Linked DNA regions of Caenorhabditis elegans. The protein of the gene in region 3 interacts with the protein of the main gene of each other region in a pairwise test. Each region holds a gene or a part of one and is shown on either strand. Other genes may lie near its edges.

What was found. The genes of interacting proteins can lie anywhere in the genome.
Region 1: the proteins of F01G4.6 (region 3) and kin-2 interact in a two-hybrid assay, tested with the Caenorhabditis elegans proteins (one large-scale study listed by BioGRID).
Region 2: the proteins of F01G4.6 (region 3) and srlf-35 interact in a two-hybrid assay, tested with the Caenorhabditis elegans proteins (one large-scale study listed by BioGRID).

What each region holds. Positions count from the first base shown.
Region 1 is NC_003284.9:5,971,852-5,979,432, forward strand, and holds the start of kin-2 (cAMP-dependent protein kinase regulatory subunit), read right to left. Parts: upstream 6,004-7,581; coding exon 5,883-6,003; intron 5,824-5,882; coding exon 5,741-5,823; intron 4,961-5,740; exon of another isoform or gene 4,822-4,960; intron 2,433-4,821; exon of another isoform or gene 2,411-2,432; coding exon of another isoform or gene 2,333-2,410; intron 2,061-2,332; exon of another isoform or gene 1,945-2,060; intron 1,818-1,944; exon of another isoform or gene 1,683-1,817; intron 1,354-1,682; coding exon 1,147-1,353; intron 1,083-1,146; coding exon 969-1,082; intron 923-968; coding exon 809-922; intron 765-808; coding exon 650-764; intron 584-649; coding exon 380-583; intron 17-379; coding exon 1-16. UniProt on the Caenorhabditis elegans protein: Controls the rhythmic contraction of enteric muscles probably by regulating G-protein coupled receptor aex-2-mediated calcium influx in GABAergic DVB neurons.
Region 2 is NC_003283.11:502,339-505,135, reverse strand, and holds srlf-35 (SXP/RAL-2 family protein Ani s 5-like cation-binding domain-containing protein), read right to left. Parts: upstream 1,109-2,797; 5' UTR 1,098-1,108; coding exon 909-1,097; intron 840-908; coding exon 564-839; 3' UTR 504-563; downstream 1-503. Other genes in the region: T01G6.10 (DeHydrogenases, Short chain), read left to right, coding at 1,913-2,182, 2,341-2,529, 2,578-2,748, 2,797-2,797.
Region 3 is NC_003282.8:11,147,121-11,150,799, reverse strand, and holds F01G4.6 (Phosphate carrier protein, mitochondrial), read left to right. Parts: upstream 1-1,598; 5' UTR 1,599-1,840; coding exon 1,841-2,075; intron 2,076-2,118; coding exon 2,119-2,240; intron 2,241-2,283; coding exon 2,284-3,012; intron 3,013-3,060; coding exon 3,061-3,138; downstream 3,139-3,679. Other genes in the region: pfd-1 (putative prefoldin subunit 1), read right to left, coding at 1-77, 130-275, 578-685; pigq-1 (PMT_2 domain-containing protein), read left to right, coding at 3,558-3,622, 3,671-3,679. UniProt on the Caenorhabditis elegans protein: Transport of phosphate groups from the cytosol to the mitochondrial matrix.

The DNA.
Region 1 (7,581 bases), on a different chromosome or scaffold from region 3:
AGAAGAGCGATTTCTCCTGAAATTGTGACATTGAAATAAAGCTTTCATTCAGGCGTCGACAAGGGTCGCGACCCACGCCTACTGATTAGTGCGGTTCAAAAATCAAAACGTGTCGGGCTCTGGTGCAAACACCAGGGTTTTGATTTAACACCAAAATGCAAAGCGACGTCATTCCCTGAAACCGCGCCTGCATTTCATGAAAAGCCTACATTGATATATGAAGTGTCACAAAAATCTTGTCTAGAGTTATATTTCAATAAAAAAAATGTTTGCATTTATTGAATCACCCGCATATTGCCAAATACAATTAGTTTTTTGATCTTTCCATGTTTGTTCATTTTTTTTCCAATTTTTCTCTTTTTTTCTGATTATTGCTCACCGAAATAGTCCGACATTCCAAGATGTCCGACAACGTCGAATGGTGCGTCGTCGCTTCTCTTCTGCAACACATTGGCTTCTCCCTCGAGAATGATGAAGAATTCGTCTCCGGGTTGTCCTTGCTCGACGACATGAGTTCCTGGCTCGAAGTCGCATCTCTCAAGAGCATCAGCCACGTTAGCGCGCTCCCACTGGTCGAGATCGGCTGAAAGATGATTGATGAGTCTCGGCTTAAGTTCATTTTTCTTCTCTGGTTCTTCAATTTACTTACCCAAGATTTGAACCTTGGAGAGGAACTCGTCATACATCTTTCTCTTCTTTGTTACTGATCCCATCAAGATACGACGGTAGGTGAGACGGTCGATGGCCCACAATTTCACGTCGGTCTGGAAGAAAATATATAAAATGAATTTGAGTGGCATTTTGCCACCTTGGCAATGACGGTTGCAGCACGTGGAGTTCCATAGATCAAAGCAAGTTCTCCAAATGATCCACCCTCGTTGATGGTGAGAACGTACTCGTGATTGACGTAGACATCAACGGTCTTAAATATGAAAGTACGGATAAGCTCTTAGAGAGAAGCAACTCACTCCCTTATCAATAACATAGAAGTTATCTCCTTCTTCTCCCTGTTCGATGATGGTCTCTCCAGCAGACTTCTCAACTGGGAACATGGCATCGTACATGGTTTTTTGCTCATCCTCCTAAAAACCAAAAAATTGAATAAAAATTTAATGTTATTAGAAATTTTTTTGGGAATTTATTCACCTCCAAATGAGCAAAGAGCAAGTTCTTCCTCATGGCTGACTCAAGCGACCTTCTTGTAGCATCATCCTTTGGAATCACAACCTTCTTGTACTCGGTATCGTCCTCCTTGATTGGTTCGGCAGAGATTCCGGTTCTGCGTCCACCTGATCTCTTTGGTGGCTCCACAATGATGTCGTCATCATCAGCAGCGTCCGGATTTCCTCCTTCCTGAAATGTTAAGATTTGATAAGGAAAGTTTGAAAATAAAAGATGTGCAAAATAACAAACCATTTTGGAATTTTCCTGTTTCAGTTAGTTCAGCGACGGAAAAAATGAATGAAAAATCAAAATATAAAATGACCAGAACCAGTTCAGTCAATTACTGACCCTCTGCTATTTTTTTTTTGTTTCGACAAAACGTTAACCTTGAGGTTGGAAATTGTAAATCGGGAATCGTATTAAGTGGGCCACCAGGTAATGTAAATTATGTTACGCCGCAAACTTACTTGTTTCTGTTTAGCAACAGGGCAACCGTCTCCGCCTGTCTATTTGCGCAATAAAAACAACACAGCAGAAAGTAAATACACCCACTCGCTCACTCACCCGGTACATGTTCAACTCCATTTTTAAGGTGTGAACCACTGAATTGAAAATGGATTGGAAGAATTTTTCAATGGAAAGAAGCAAGAAGAAAAACGCAAGGAAATATGAAGTGCGGTGCACACTGAGCCAATCTATCGCCGAGCGAGCTGCCGCGCCGTCTAATGTGCTTCAAATGCGTACTCGTAGCTCTCGCAAGTCTCTTCGTCCTACAATTTTGCTAGTGCTCCATCAAGGTTCCAGCGCTTCCCCTTTTTTCATTTCATTCCACGCCGCTCATCATTCATCCGTCGTGACTGAGATTCGATCATACTAGCAGACACCTGGTTACTTTTGTTTCTGTTGTGCAAAACAATTTCTTATTTTTGAGGTCTCCCTTTATTTTTGTTTTTTTTTATTTCTAGAAGTTTGCAGAATCCGTTTAAAATTGCCTAAAAAGATCAGGTTTTGAACAGTTCAAATTTCTAACTTGATTTTTTCAAGAAATTTTATTAAATGTGATGTTTGAAAACATAGAAGCCATTCTAATCAGAGAATTAATTCGAACTACGCATGAAATCCAAAAATCCATAAGAAAAAAGTGATTATCCTCTCAAAAAACTATCACCTTAGGCTTTGGAGTCTTTGCGTTTTTTGTGGCGCCCACAGATTGCGAGTTTCGTCGGTTGCTCAATTGCTGCCCCATCACATTCCTTGGTGGTGATACTCTGACAATATTGATTAATAACTTGGTTAAAAGAATAAGAAAAAGTCTATGTAGGTGAAAAAAGAGGAATGTAACGGCAATTTTCTAAGAAGCAGATGTTTTGGAATAAAACATATCCATGGAAACCAGAGTTGTGGTGAGCAGTCAAATAAATATTTGAAAAAACAAACACTATGACTATTGTAAATGAAGGAACACGTCAGGAGGCAAATAAGGCAATTGTGTGTGCGTCGAACTTTCAACTACAACAACTATGACAAAACATTGAGTAGTATGTTGTAGTTGGAGGTAGAATGAGAAGGCTAAAAACAAGACGAAAATCAAAATCGGACCGGGTTTCCACATGAGACCTAATTGAAGGCGTGTGAATGTTTTTCTTGCTGTGGTAGCGCAAAATGAACGAAACAGAAAGAGGGAGAGGAAAGGACGGAAGAGGAAAAAGTAAGAATGTCAATATCTGAAAGAGCTTTGCCAGTTGTATTTAGTAGGTGGAGGGCACAACGACTTCATGCATTTTTGTCTCAAGCAACCGGCAATTTACTATAGCAGCCGCAACATTTAGACAGAAAATAAATAGTCTCGAATTGTTCCTCTATTCTTACTCATGTTGTTTTATGAAACAACAAAAAAAAATTCAATTTCAGTATTTCTAAGAGTAACTATTTAATTTCTGATTTGTCGCATCGAAGTTAATTTACGATGAGTGTATTGTGCTCACAGAGAGTATTATGCACACATTGAGAAATATCCAATAAATGACAAATTCCCTATCTTAAAAATCTGCCACGTTATTCTTAGAATTCATAAAAGTTTCTGTGGTACAGAAAATAAAAATCAGCTGATTTTATAGAAAATGACACAATGATAACGTTCGAGGCATTTTTTACGTGGAGAAAAACAAAGAGAATGGTATGACTAATATTTCAATTCGTTTGAAAAAAAAACCCATTTTACTAGTTTTCGAACATATTCAATAAAACCTCGTAAAAAACGAGCTATTTATTCGAATAGTTTTTCTCTCAAAAATCAATAAAGTCATTTAGCATCAGAAAAGCGTGACTCTTTTCATTCTCTCCATTTAACTTGGCATCGTTCTCTATCTCTGAGGCGGTCATAAAAACACTCGGCCGGATAGAAGCTGCCTTCGGGGCAAATTTTATTCGATTATTGAATTTGACAGACAAATATAACGAAAACGAGGCGGAGAGAAGATAGAAAATATCGGAGTATGCACTTCCTAGTTTTTCGAAAATAAAAGTTGTAAAACTTTAAAAATGAAAAAAAAATTGTGTATCAGCATTTGCCAAAAAATTTTCATAAACGAGTGTTTAAAATAAACTATTTTTCTGGGGAAGCGGTTGGAAAGAAGAGAGAACATAAAAGATCGATAAACGTCCGAACAGTATGCAAAAGAAATATGTTGAGAGACGCAGGAAATGGAAGGTACGCACACTTTATGGTCCTTTAGTGAATGGCATTGGCAAATTTAGTATGTTAAATTTCAAAACTTAGTTTTCCATTTCAAAATTAATATTTCTATTTACAATTTCAAAAAAAAATACAAACGTTCAAATTTTTCAATAGAAATTTAAACACACTTTTTTAATGACCACATTCCAAAAAACCGCCCCAATTCGATTTTGATAAGCTGTGTCTAAAACTGAAACACATGTGTACAAAAAAAGACATAAAAATTGGAGTGTGAAAAGTGGACTCGAGTGTTTTAGTTTTATTGTGTTTTTTTGAATGTTCCCAAATTGAAATTCTAGAGCTCCGAACTTTTTGTGTTGTTTTTCATCATATATATATATATATATATATAATCGTTTCGAGAACCTTTTCAGAATGTTGCAAGTAACGATGACGTCATAAAAAGTTTGTAATACCTTATATTTCCTGGATTATGACTAATGTTGTTTTTTGTTTGAAGCGTTTAAAATTTGTGACAGAAAAAAAAGCAAAATGTTTTGGAATTTTAAAAATTAGGTGTCAGAGAAAAAAAAAGGTTAAATCTAGAATTTCACATCTTCAAAGAACGTGACAATGATGTTTGGTTCGTCGTCACTGTTACTGTTTCCTCTTCCCTTTCTTTCACCTGACCTCCTAAAGATTTATGACTAGTCTTTTGACTTTTGTTATTTTTGTGAAAATACTACCTACTTCAATTATTTTCGAAACAAAAATTCCAGACACAAAATGCGAGGGTGTTGAAAAAACAACGGAGAACAAAAAGCATGGAGCATTAAGGAGCGGCAGAAGGAGAAGAAAAATGCGATCGTCCGAAGAGCAACGAAGAGCAAGAGAAATCTGCCCCGAGGCCTTCTTCATTCTTCGTCACTTTCTCTCCGCTTCACAAACCGGACCCGAAAAAAAGGGAAAAGAGCTCGGCAGCTGAGCCAATGGCTGCGGGCGCTCGATGCTCGATGGACAGCTCTGGAGGGCTCATTGGGACTCGTCTCAAAGGGCCCATTCTCTCAATTCTCTTCGTTTTCGTTACGCCTTATCCGCTCTCTTTCATCCTTTCGTTTTCCCAGCTAACTAGTGCCTCTTTTTCTTCTTCCTCTTCTTCTTTTTCTTCTCTTTCTCCAGAGGACCCCGACGGAAAAACGACATACACAAGGCTTGCTTTCTATGAAAAAAAGAAGCAACACAAGACGAAAAAAAAAACGAAGTGAAGCTTCATTTTCATTGATTCGAGCCATAAACGCGGAGGAATGACGAAAAAGACACAGGAAGATGTTTGACCTAATTTGCATTTTCCAGTTTTTTCTCAAGCTTTTTTTTGCAGTGCATCTCATTAAAAACAAGATCGAAACAAAAAATCATGACGCTTGGCTCCCACAAAACCGGATAAAATATTCAAATATTTGAAGCGAGTCAAACGAGATTTTCGATGCCTCAAAAACTTGGTACTATGAATGAGAATAAAATAACAAATTTCACTGATCTAGAACAATGATATAATTATAAAGCTATGTGAATTTCAAATTTGAAAGTCTGAAACCGAGTTTCATGGTTCAGAAAACACGAACAATTAAATAAAAATCCTGAAGAATTGTAAAACCCCCATCACAAATTGTACTCAAAACGTTATAATACGCTTATGCAACACTACGTTTTCCGATAAGAAGAACCGTTTCAAAACGCAACAATTAACTTTTTTGGCGTACCACGTCAATACTCTTTCAGTGTCAGCAAATTTGAATACTTTTTCTGGTCATAATTTCGAACTGGTTCTGTCATTCTTCTCACTTTTATGTTGAAAATATTTTTTTTTTCAATTTCTAAATTCTCTGCAACTCAACTAACCTGTGCTCGTTGTTCGTTGAGTTTTTCAAAATGATCCTTCAAGAAGAGAACCGGGTTGTCGGGTTTGTGTATGCACAGAACAACTGGAAAAATCGTATTCTTACTTTCGTGTTATTATTTTGCTAGATTTTCAAAAACTCACCAATTGCTTCTTTGACAAGCTGCTGAATGTTGTGTCGTTGCACATAGGCCTGGCATTGTGCCAACTGATCCTCTTCGTTTCCACCCGACATAAAAACAATGTCACCTGAATAATTGTTCATAATTTTCAGTCATTTCTTGTTTTAAACAAACAAAAGAGACAAAAATGCGAGAAAAATAGCAGAAAACACACGTTTGAAATGAGATGAAAACTTGGTGGGGAAGGTAACAGACTTTTGACGGGGGATGCCGCGGAAAAGAGCGAGATGAGCGGTTACCGAATGAATGCTGATACACCCGCCAGTGTACAACATTTTGGAAAATCTTGGCACACAGCCTTCCCAGTAGATCAAAGCAGAATTGAGCAGCAAAAAAAGGAAGAAAAAGTGGAGAAGAAGGAAAAAACAGAGAGGAGGAGCAAGAAAAGAAAATTGATACCCAAACTTGGTTGAGCGAGAGAACGAGAAAAGAGAGAAAAGAAAAAGAGAAAAAGAGAAAAATCAGATAATTGATTTGTTGAAATTTGAAGACAAGTTCAGTTCATCACTTTGATCACACAGATGGTCGGAAAGTAAATATGATGATTGATGGTGATAATTAGCAGAATGAAAAACGTCGTCGCGCAAGTACTGAGACCGGAAACTATAATTTAAAGATAAAGGGAATTTCCTCTTTTGATAGGAGATCAACGGTTACAATATGTCGCGGAAACGGACGAATTTGATTTGAGATTTTTTTGTTTAATTCATATAGAGTTACAAGCAGCTACAAATGTATAGAAATAATTTTGATGTATACGGTTTTGAATTGTTTGCATGTATAGACTCGAAATGTACTCAAATGAACTTCTCAAAAAATAAATAAGCTATTCCGTTCGAGGGGGCGTTTAAAATTTGGGAAACACTTTTCTGCGTTGCAAATTAACTGCATTAAAGTATCATTTGTATTGCATATTTTTATAATTTATCTCACGTTTTTTTGTTAATAAGGGTGCATTTAAAGTTGATAGGTTACCAAACATAATTGAAATTCAGTACTTATCGGCTTTTAACACACTTGAATCAACTAAATAATGTGAACCAAACAATCAATAAAAATGATAATTCCATTAAAAAATATATATATAATTTTCATTCTCTGCAACTTGGAAACTTTAGCAAAACTGGTGAATCTATCAATTGTTGGTCTTTTTTGAATTTCGAATGCTAATTCGAGCCCATTTTAAGTACAAGCAAAAAACAGCAATTATTTGTTGTTCAAACCCTATTTTTTAGAAAATGCATTTAATACCTACGAATGCTAACTTTTCTCTCGCCTCTTCCCCCTCCCTATGCGGTTTCTAGGCGGGTTTGTAAACCTTTTTGCATGCGAGAGAAACAAGTGATGATAATAAACTAAACTAAACGTTCAGAAATCAATATCACAATGTGAAAATGTGAAAATGACCTATCGATGAAATCGAGGGTGTCTTCATGTTATCGCCCAATTACAACGGGGCATTTCCCCTCGGACTCTTGCTCTACACCACCCGTGGCCTTTGGTCTTTGGCATATGACGTAAATTGAAATAGGAACAGGGAGAACTGAACAATATTTTTTATCCTATTGCATGCTGGTAATCAAGTTAGCATACCAGCCGACTCTCAGCTTATCTTTAATCCATATAGGCTAATCTGTCGGATTTTTGGTACAAAAATGTAA
Region 2 (2,797 bases), on a different chromosome or scaffold from region 3:
AAGAAGGTCTTACAAAATTCAGTTTCTAGTTTTGAAAATTTTCAGAAAAAAAATTAATTGATATTTTTTCACAGTTTTTTAACAAATTGTTAATGGAAAAATGGAAAAACTAAAGGAAAAAATCTACATAACTTCACAAATATTTGAGAAAATATTAAAAACATTTAGATGACTTTAGAATGATGTTTATTTTGGTGAAAAAGTTTTCAAAAAAGTTCAAACAATTTTCTGAATGTCGAAAATTTTTGGAATTTTCCCAAGATTTTCAAAAATGAATTGTAAAATTATAATACTTGAAGACTGAGTTTTTACCTTTTTTTTTGACTATAATTTAATTTTTTTTAATTTCTGAAAATTTTTACAATAATTTTTGGATATTTTAACAATTATAGGAACCTAGGAAGCGGTCCGATATTTCACTTTTTTTTGACACATTACATCTTTCATGAAATATCCTGAGGCTGTTTTTAAAATTTTTTCAACAAAAACAATACCGCTTTTAATTCCATTTATGTGTCCTCTAAAGTTAAAACCATTCATTAGAAAAAAAAAACTTCAAAAACTTAAAATGATTCATAACTGTCATCATGGTCATCATCGATTCCCATTCTTTTCATGGAAACTTCCCGAATGTGGAACAAAACTGAAACTTCTTGAGGGTACTGGTATCTAAGAGACTGGATAGCCTGTCGCTTCTGAGCTCCCGTTTGATTATCGTTGTTCAGAATGGATTCAAGCTGGTTTTGAACTGTTGATAACTGGGAAATTATTTGAGAAGTCTGCTGGCTGACTTGTTGCTCTTGTTGGCTCCGTTGTTGTGTGTAGCTGGAGTATTCGTTCTGGAAAATTATTGTGATTTCAGATTTTTATTTTCAAATTTAAAAAATTCAAAATTTCAGAGAACTCACCGAAAGATTATTCATCTGAGCCCATTGCTGAAGCTGCTGGTTCTTCTGCATCTGACTTAGCTGATAGTTCTTAGCAATTGCAAAATAAGACTGTTGAATATTTCTCGGCTGATATCTCAAGAACATTGGTCCGTCGAAATCGGCAAAAACTACAGCGAACAGAGCAATAATTGAAAGGTAAGACTTCATTTTGGAGTGATTTGGTAAAGTGTCTCCTCAATTTATATACTAGGTGCCCATAGTATTGGCATAGTATCTGTTTGTGCCACTGGTGAACTTTTGTGTTTGCTCTTGTAGTCTTTTGAAAAGAGTTGTTAGGCAGTTAGGTAGTCTACGTTTATGAGTCACTGAAAAAAAATCATTTTTTGAAGAAAGATCAAAAGTAGGGGAACTTTTTAAAAAACATCTAGAAGTTTTCAGAAATTTATCCGAAATTGTTCAAAGTTATCTAGATGTCGAGATTCGAAAAAAAAAGTTTAAAAAACAATTTTTTATATTTTATTCTTAGAAAATGTGAATTTTGCACCAATACTTTTCTCAGAACATGAAGATTTGAATTCCCGCCAAAGAAATGGACTGAAAATTTTAATTTCCCTTTAAAAAAAACTGCAATGAAAATGCGAATTTCCCGTCTTTTTTTTAATTCCCAGGAATTTTTACCCCTGAAACTTTGAACATTCGCCCAAATTTTTTCACAATAAAATAAGTTTTCTAGTTTTCGCGGAAAATTTTAAAAACTTGCACTATTTTTATATTTTATATAAGTTTGATATATTTTTAAGTAATTATGAGTAACCTGAACCCTTTTGGTCATAGATTTTTTGACACACTGAGAGATAAGCACAAAAAGAGACACAGACGTCCAACGCATGTGCTTACACATTCAGCTTTATACCTTCTAGTCACAGACGCTGTCCCCCTCCGACACATTTTCCAAAACTATAAAAGATGTTGGAGAGCAGCTCAAAAATATCACTTTCATACTTATTCTTTACCTTTTCTCTATGAACCGCTTCTCTGGAAAGTCTGTCATCGTGACAGGATCTTCAAGTGGAATTGGTCGAGCCACTGCGGTGCTCTTTGCGAAATATGGAGCCCAGGTAACAATCACTGGTAGAGATGCTGGAAAACTCGAGGCTACCAAGAAAAAGATGCTGAAGGTCATGAAGAATCCGGAGAATGTGTGTGTTGTCGTGGCGAACTTGACGGATTCTGATGGGCAAGACGAGATTGTGCAATCGGCGCTCGATGCTTTTGGGAGGATTGATGTACTGGTAAGTGAAGGTATGCTTATCTGTTTAAATCATTAGAGATCCAATGTTGCGCGTCAAATATTATGTAGTCATTTTTGCTCGATTTTGTACATGTGCTTAAAAAATGTACTGCGCATCTCTGACCGCAGTTTTTTTAAACACTTTTTCTCACCTTCCAGGTGAACAACGCCGGTGCCAATGTGGTCGACGGTACCTTTAACACTGATCAATCTACCGAGCTGTACCATAAAACATTTCAAATCAATTTTGAAGCCGTCATCGAGATGGTGAAAAAAACCAAAAATCACCTGATCGAATCGAAAGGTGAAATTGTGAATGTCTCCAGTGTAGCTGCAGGACCACAGGCGGTTTGTTGCTCCATAAATTTCTACCAAACTAAAACCGGATATTTTCAGCTTGCTCCATCCCCCTATTACGCAGCCTCCAAAGCCGCCCTAGACCAATACACACGTTGCGTGGCACTTGATCTCATCTTGCAAGGGGTTCGTGTTAATTCAGTGAGCCCGGGTGTCGTCACGTCCGGGTTTCTGGGGGCAATGGGAATGTCGGAGCAGGTCCAGAAACAGGTAAACGAAATTGTTCCATGATTGCTGTAAATTTGATAGAAATTTTAGA
Region 3 (3,679 bases):
CGCGAAGATTCGTTTCAGCCTCCACCAATCCTTTCTCCAAATAGTCTTTCTGCTTCTCGATAGCTTCAATTTTCTCTCTGAAAATGGGATTGGTTGTGTAAACTGTTTTGAATGGAAGAATGAAATTACTTTGACTGTTTAGCTTCAGCTTCATGTCTGGAAATTTCAGCTGGTTTGTCGGTCAGCAGGAACATACGCCCAACAGATCGATAGTACTTGAGGTTTTCATCCAAATCCACCAAGTTCTTTTTTGTGCTCTCTGAGATCCTCATTTTCTGAAAAATTTAGTTATTAGAAGCGTTACTTAAGAGAAAAAGTTATACTTTTATGTTTTTAAATATTAAAAATGCTGAGTGTTTTTTAATGGATGTGTGTAATGAAAAAATACCGATGTACAGCAAAAACTTTTTTGGCAAAGCTAGATTGTAGTTGTGACTAGCTGTGACTATTTGTGACTTAGGCACAAGCTAAGAGGTGAAACTCGCTAGTTTCTATGTTATCAAGTTATGATGTCATACATTTCTCATAATATTTAAAGTATATCAAATTTCAATATTTAATATTCAAAAATACTCACCTGATAGTTAACTTTCTTATTTTGTTCTCCTTGAACTATCCGCATTCGTGTTTCATTGGTTTTGAATTGCAAGTCGCGAAACGCTTTTGAGATCTCCTCGTCGGCCATTTCTGAAGTTGTAATATGAAAGTTGATTTAATAATTGAGACAAAAAAGAGTTGCGTTAAAAGAAATCACGAGAAAAGCAAAGAAAACAAATTGATTATCTTTGAAAAGTTGATTTGGAATAAACTTTTGAGAGATGGATTATTTATCCACAAATTTTAATTATTTTATGATTTATATATGTTAAAAAATGAGATACACCTTTTAAATGATAAAATAATAATGCTAGAAAACAGAATTTTAGATGTTGTAGTCATATTTTAAAATAAAAATGGAAAAATCGAGTAGAAATGTTTGCTGGCGCATTGCCAGAATCGAGTTAGATGTGCAGGTCATATAGCAAAGTGACGGGAGACGACTACGGTAGGGGCCGACCATGGCTCAGAGAACGTCCATGATATCTTTTGAGGCGGTTTGCAGGCCCGCCAGTGATAAATTATCAGTTATTCTACGAATTTCTTGAATTTTGAGTTTTATTGTAGATTTTTGAAGCATTATATTGCAAAATCATCTGTGATATTTTTGTTAGTGTCTCTTTTACATTTTTATACTTCCCGCATACTAATTTTTCGTGTGAATATAAATGTTTGGCAATAATTTCGGTAATTTCCAGGTAACCACCATGAGCGTGTTCAGCCAGCTTGCCGAATCATCGAAGCAGAACCCATTCAGCTTGCCGGTCAGGTCGGGTAACTGCGCCAGTGCTGTTTCAGCTCGTAAGTATTAATTGAATTTAAAAAAAAAACTTAATATATTAGCTAGCATAATATTGTCAGTAAAATAGTAAATTCACGTCCTACTTAGATTACTTTCTAGAATTTAGTTTTTTATTAGGAGGGGTAATGACAATCCGAATTTTTCTTTACCTGCATTCTCTGTTCCCACTTCCCGTGCAGCGCATGTGCACACGTAAATTGACGAGGGCTGCGAGAGGCACGGCGGAGATAGTATCTCGCGAAAAGAGAATCGAGACAGACTATTCCCTCGTTTTGCAAAACGTGGCAACCGCGTTTTAAAAAGACATAGAATCGAATATCTGTCTGCCGTTCGACGTCGTTCACACGTAAATTTCACGTGGATCATTTACTATCTTCCACGTTATTTCTATGCTACCACATGCCTAGGCGGGATTATAAGCATTGTTATAATCGCTTATCAATGACGTCCGAAACGGAAGAGAAGGCTATGCCATTCATAGCTCGAGCCAAATCTCCTCATCTCCAAACTGGAAGGGCTGGCATTATAGTGATATTATGCATGTGGATTATAATTTATTTTTGGGGTGTTACCCAACTAGTTGACGGGTTAATGGACTGGCTGGCGTACGGGTCCACTCAATATGTTGCACGGGTCGCGGTTGGTGTTGTCACCACTGTAGCTTCTTCATATGAAGGTTTATCGCTCGAACTATACAATTTAATGTTTTTTTGTTACAGCTGGACAAGTTGAATTCGGAAGTGGCAAGTACTACGCTTACTGTGCTCTCGGAGGAGTTCTTTCTTGTGGAATCACCCACACTGCCATCGTACCACTTGATCTTGTCAAGTGCAGAATTCAGGTATTACGAGAAAAATCTATTCAACTTAATTGTTTTCTTTTAGGTGAATCCAGAGAAGTACACCGGTATTGCTACTGGTTTCCGGACCACCATCGCCGAGGAAGGAGCTCGTGCTCTTGTAAAGGGATGGGCCCCAACCCTCCTTGGATACTCCGCACAAGGACTTGGAAAATTCGGATTCTACGAGATCTTCAAGAACGTCTACGCTGACATGCTCGGAGAAGAGAACGCATATCTCTACAGAACCTCTCTTTACCTCGCTGCTTCCGCCTCAGCTGAGTTCTTCGCTGATATCCTTCTCGCCCCAATGGAAGCCACCAAGGTCCGTATCCAAACCTCACCAGGAGCTCCACCAACTCTTCGTGGATGTGCACCAATGATCTACAAGGCCGAAGGACTCACCGGATTTTACAAGGGACTTCCACCACTCTGGATGAGACAGATTCCATACACCATGATGAAGTTCGCTTGCTTCGAGAAGACCGTTGAGGCCCTTTACCAATACGTTGTTCCAAAGCCAAGAGCAGAGTGCTCCAAGGCTGAACAACTTGTCGTCACGTTTGTTGCTGGATATATCGCCGGAGTTTTCTGCGCCATCGTATCTCACCCAGCCGACACTGTTGTTTCCAAGCTTAACCAAGACTCTCAAGCCACCGCCGGAGGAATCCTCAAGAAACTTGGTTTCGCCGGAGTCTGGAAGGGACTTGTGCCACGTATTATCATGATCGGAACCCTCACAGCTCTTCAATGGTTCATCTATGATTCTGTTAAAGTGAGTTTATATCGGTATTATTTTTCTTAATTAATAAAAAAAATTCAGGTCGCCCTCAACCTTCCACGCCCACCACCACCAGAGATGCCAGCTTCCCTCAAGGCCAAGCTTGCCGCTCAACAATAATTGCACTGACTAGATAATGATTTTGATTTCCTTCCTTAATCGATTGTTCTAGCCATTGTATTAATTTGAAATCCACCCAATTTGTCTCTTTTCTCTCGGTCCTACTCTCACTCTTAATTTTTTATAACTAATTAGTGCACCATGCTCGGTTTTAGTGTGATTATCATTTCCTTCATTTGTTTCAAGTTGTCCTTCAATCCCGATGTCTTCTTTTTTGAAAGATGAGTTCTCTGGCAGTGTTTTTATAAATCTCCTCCGAACAAAACCGATCGAAGAATATTGTATACGTTGGTGTTAATTTGTGTGTGTTCTCAAGAAAAGACCTCAATTGGGTAGTTCAATTAATACAGTCCACCCTCGCTCGTTTTACCGTTGAATTCCAATAAAAAAAATTGATAATAACGTGATTTTCAGAATTTATGGATAAAATTACTAAAAACGTGGTTTTAATCAGGACATTAGAAGCAAAAATTCTTCTCGTCCGGTTTGTTTCCTGAGATATTAATATTTTATACGGAAACTTAGTTTCTAGAACATTTTC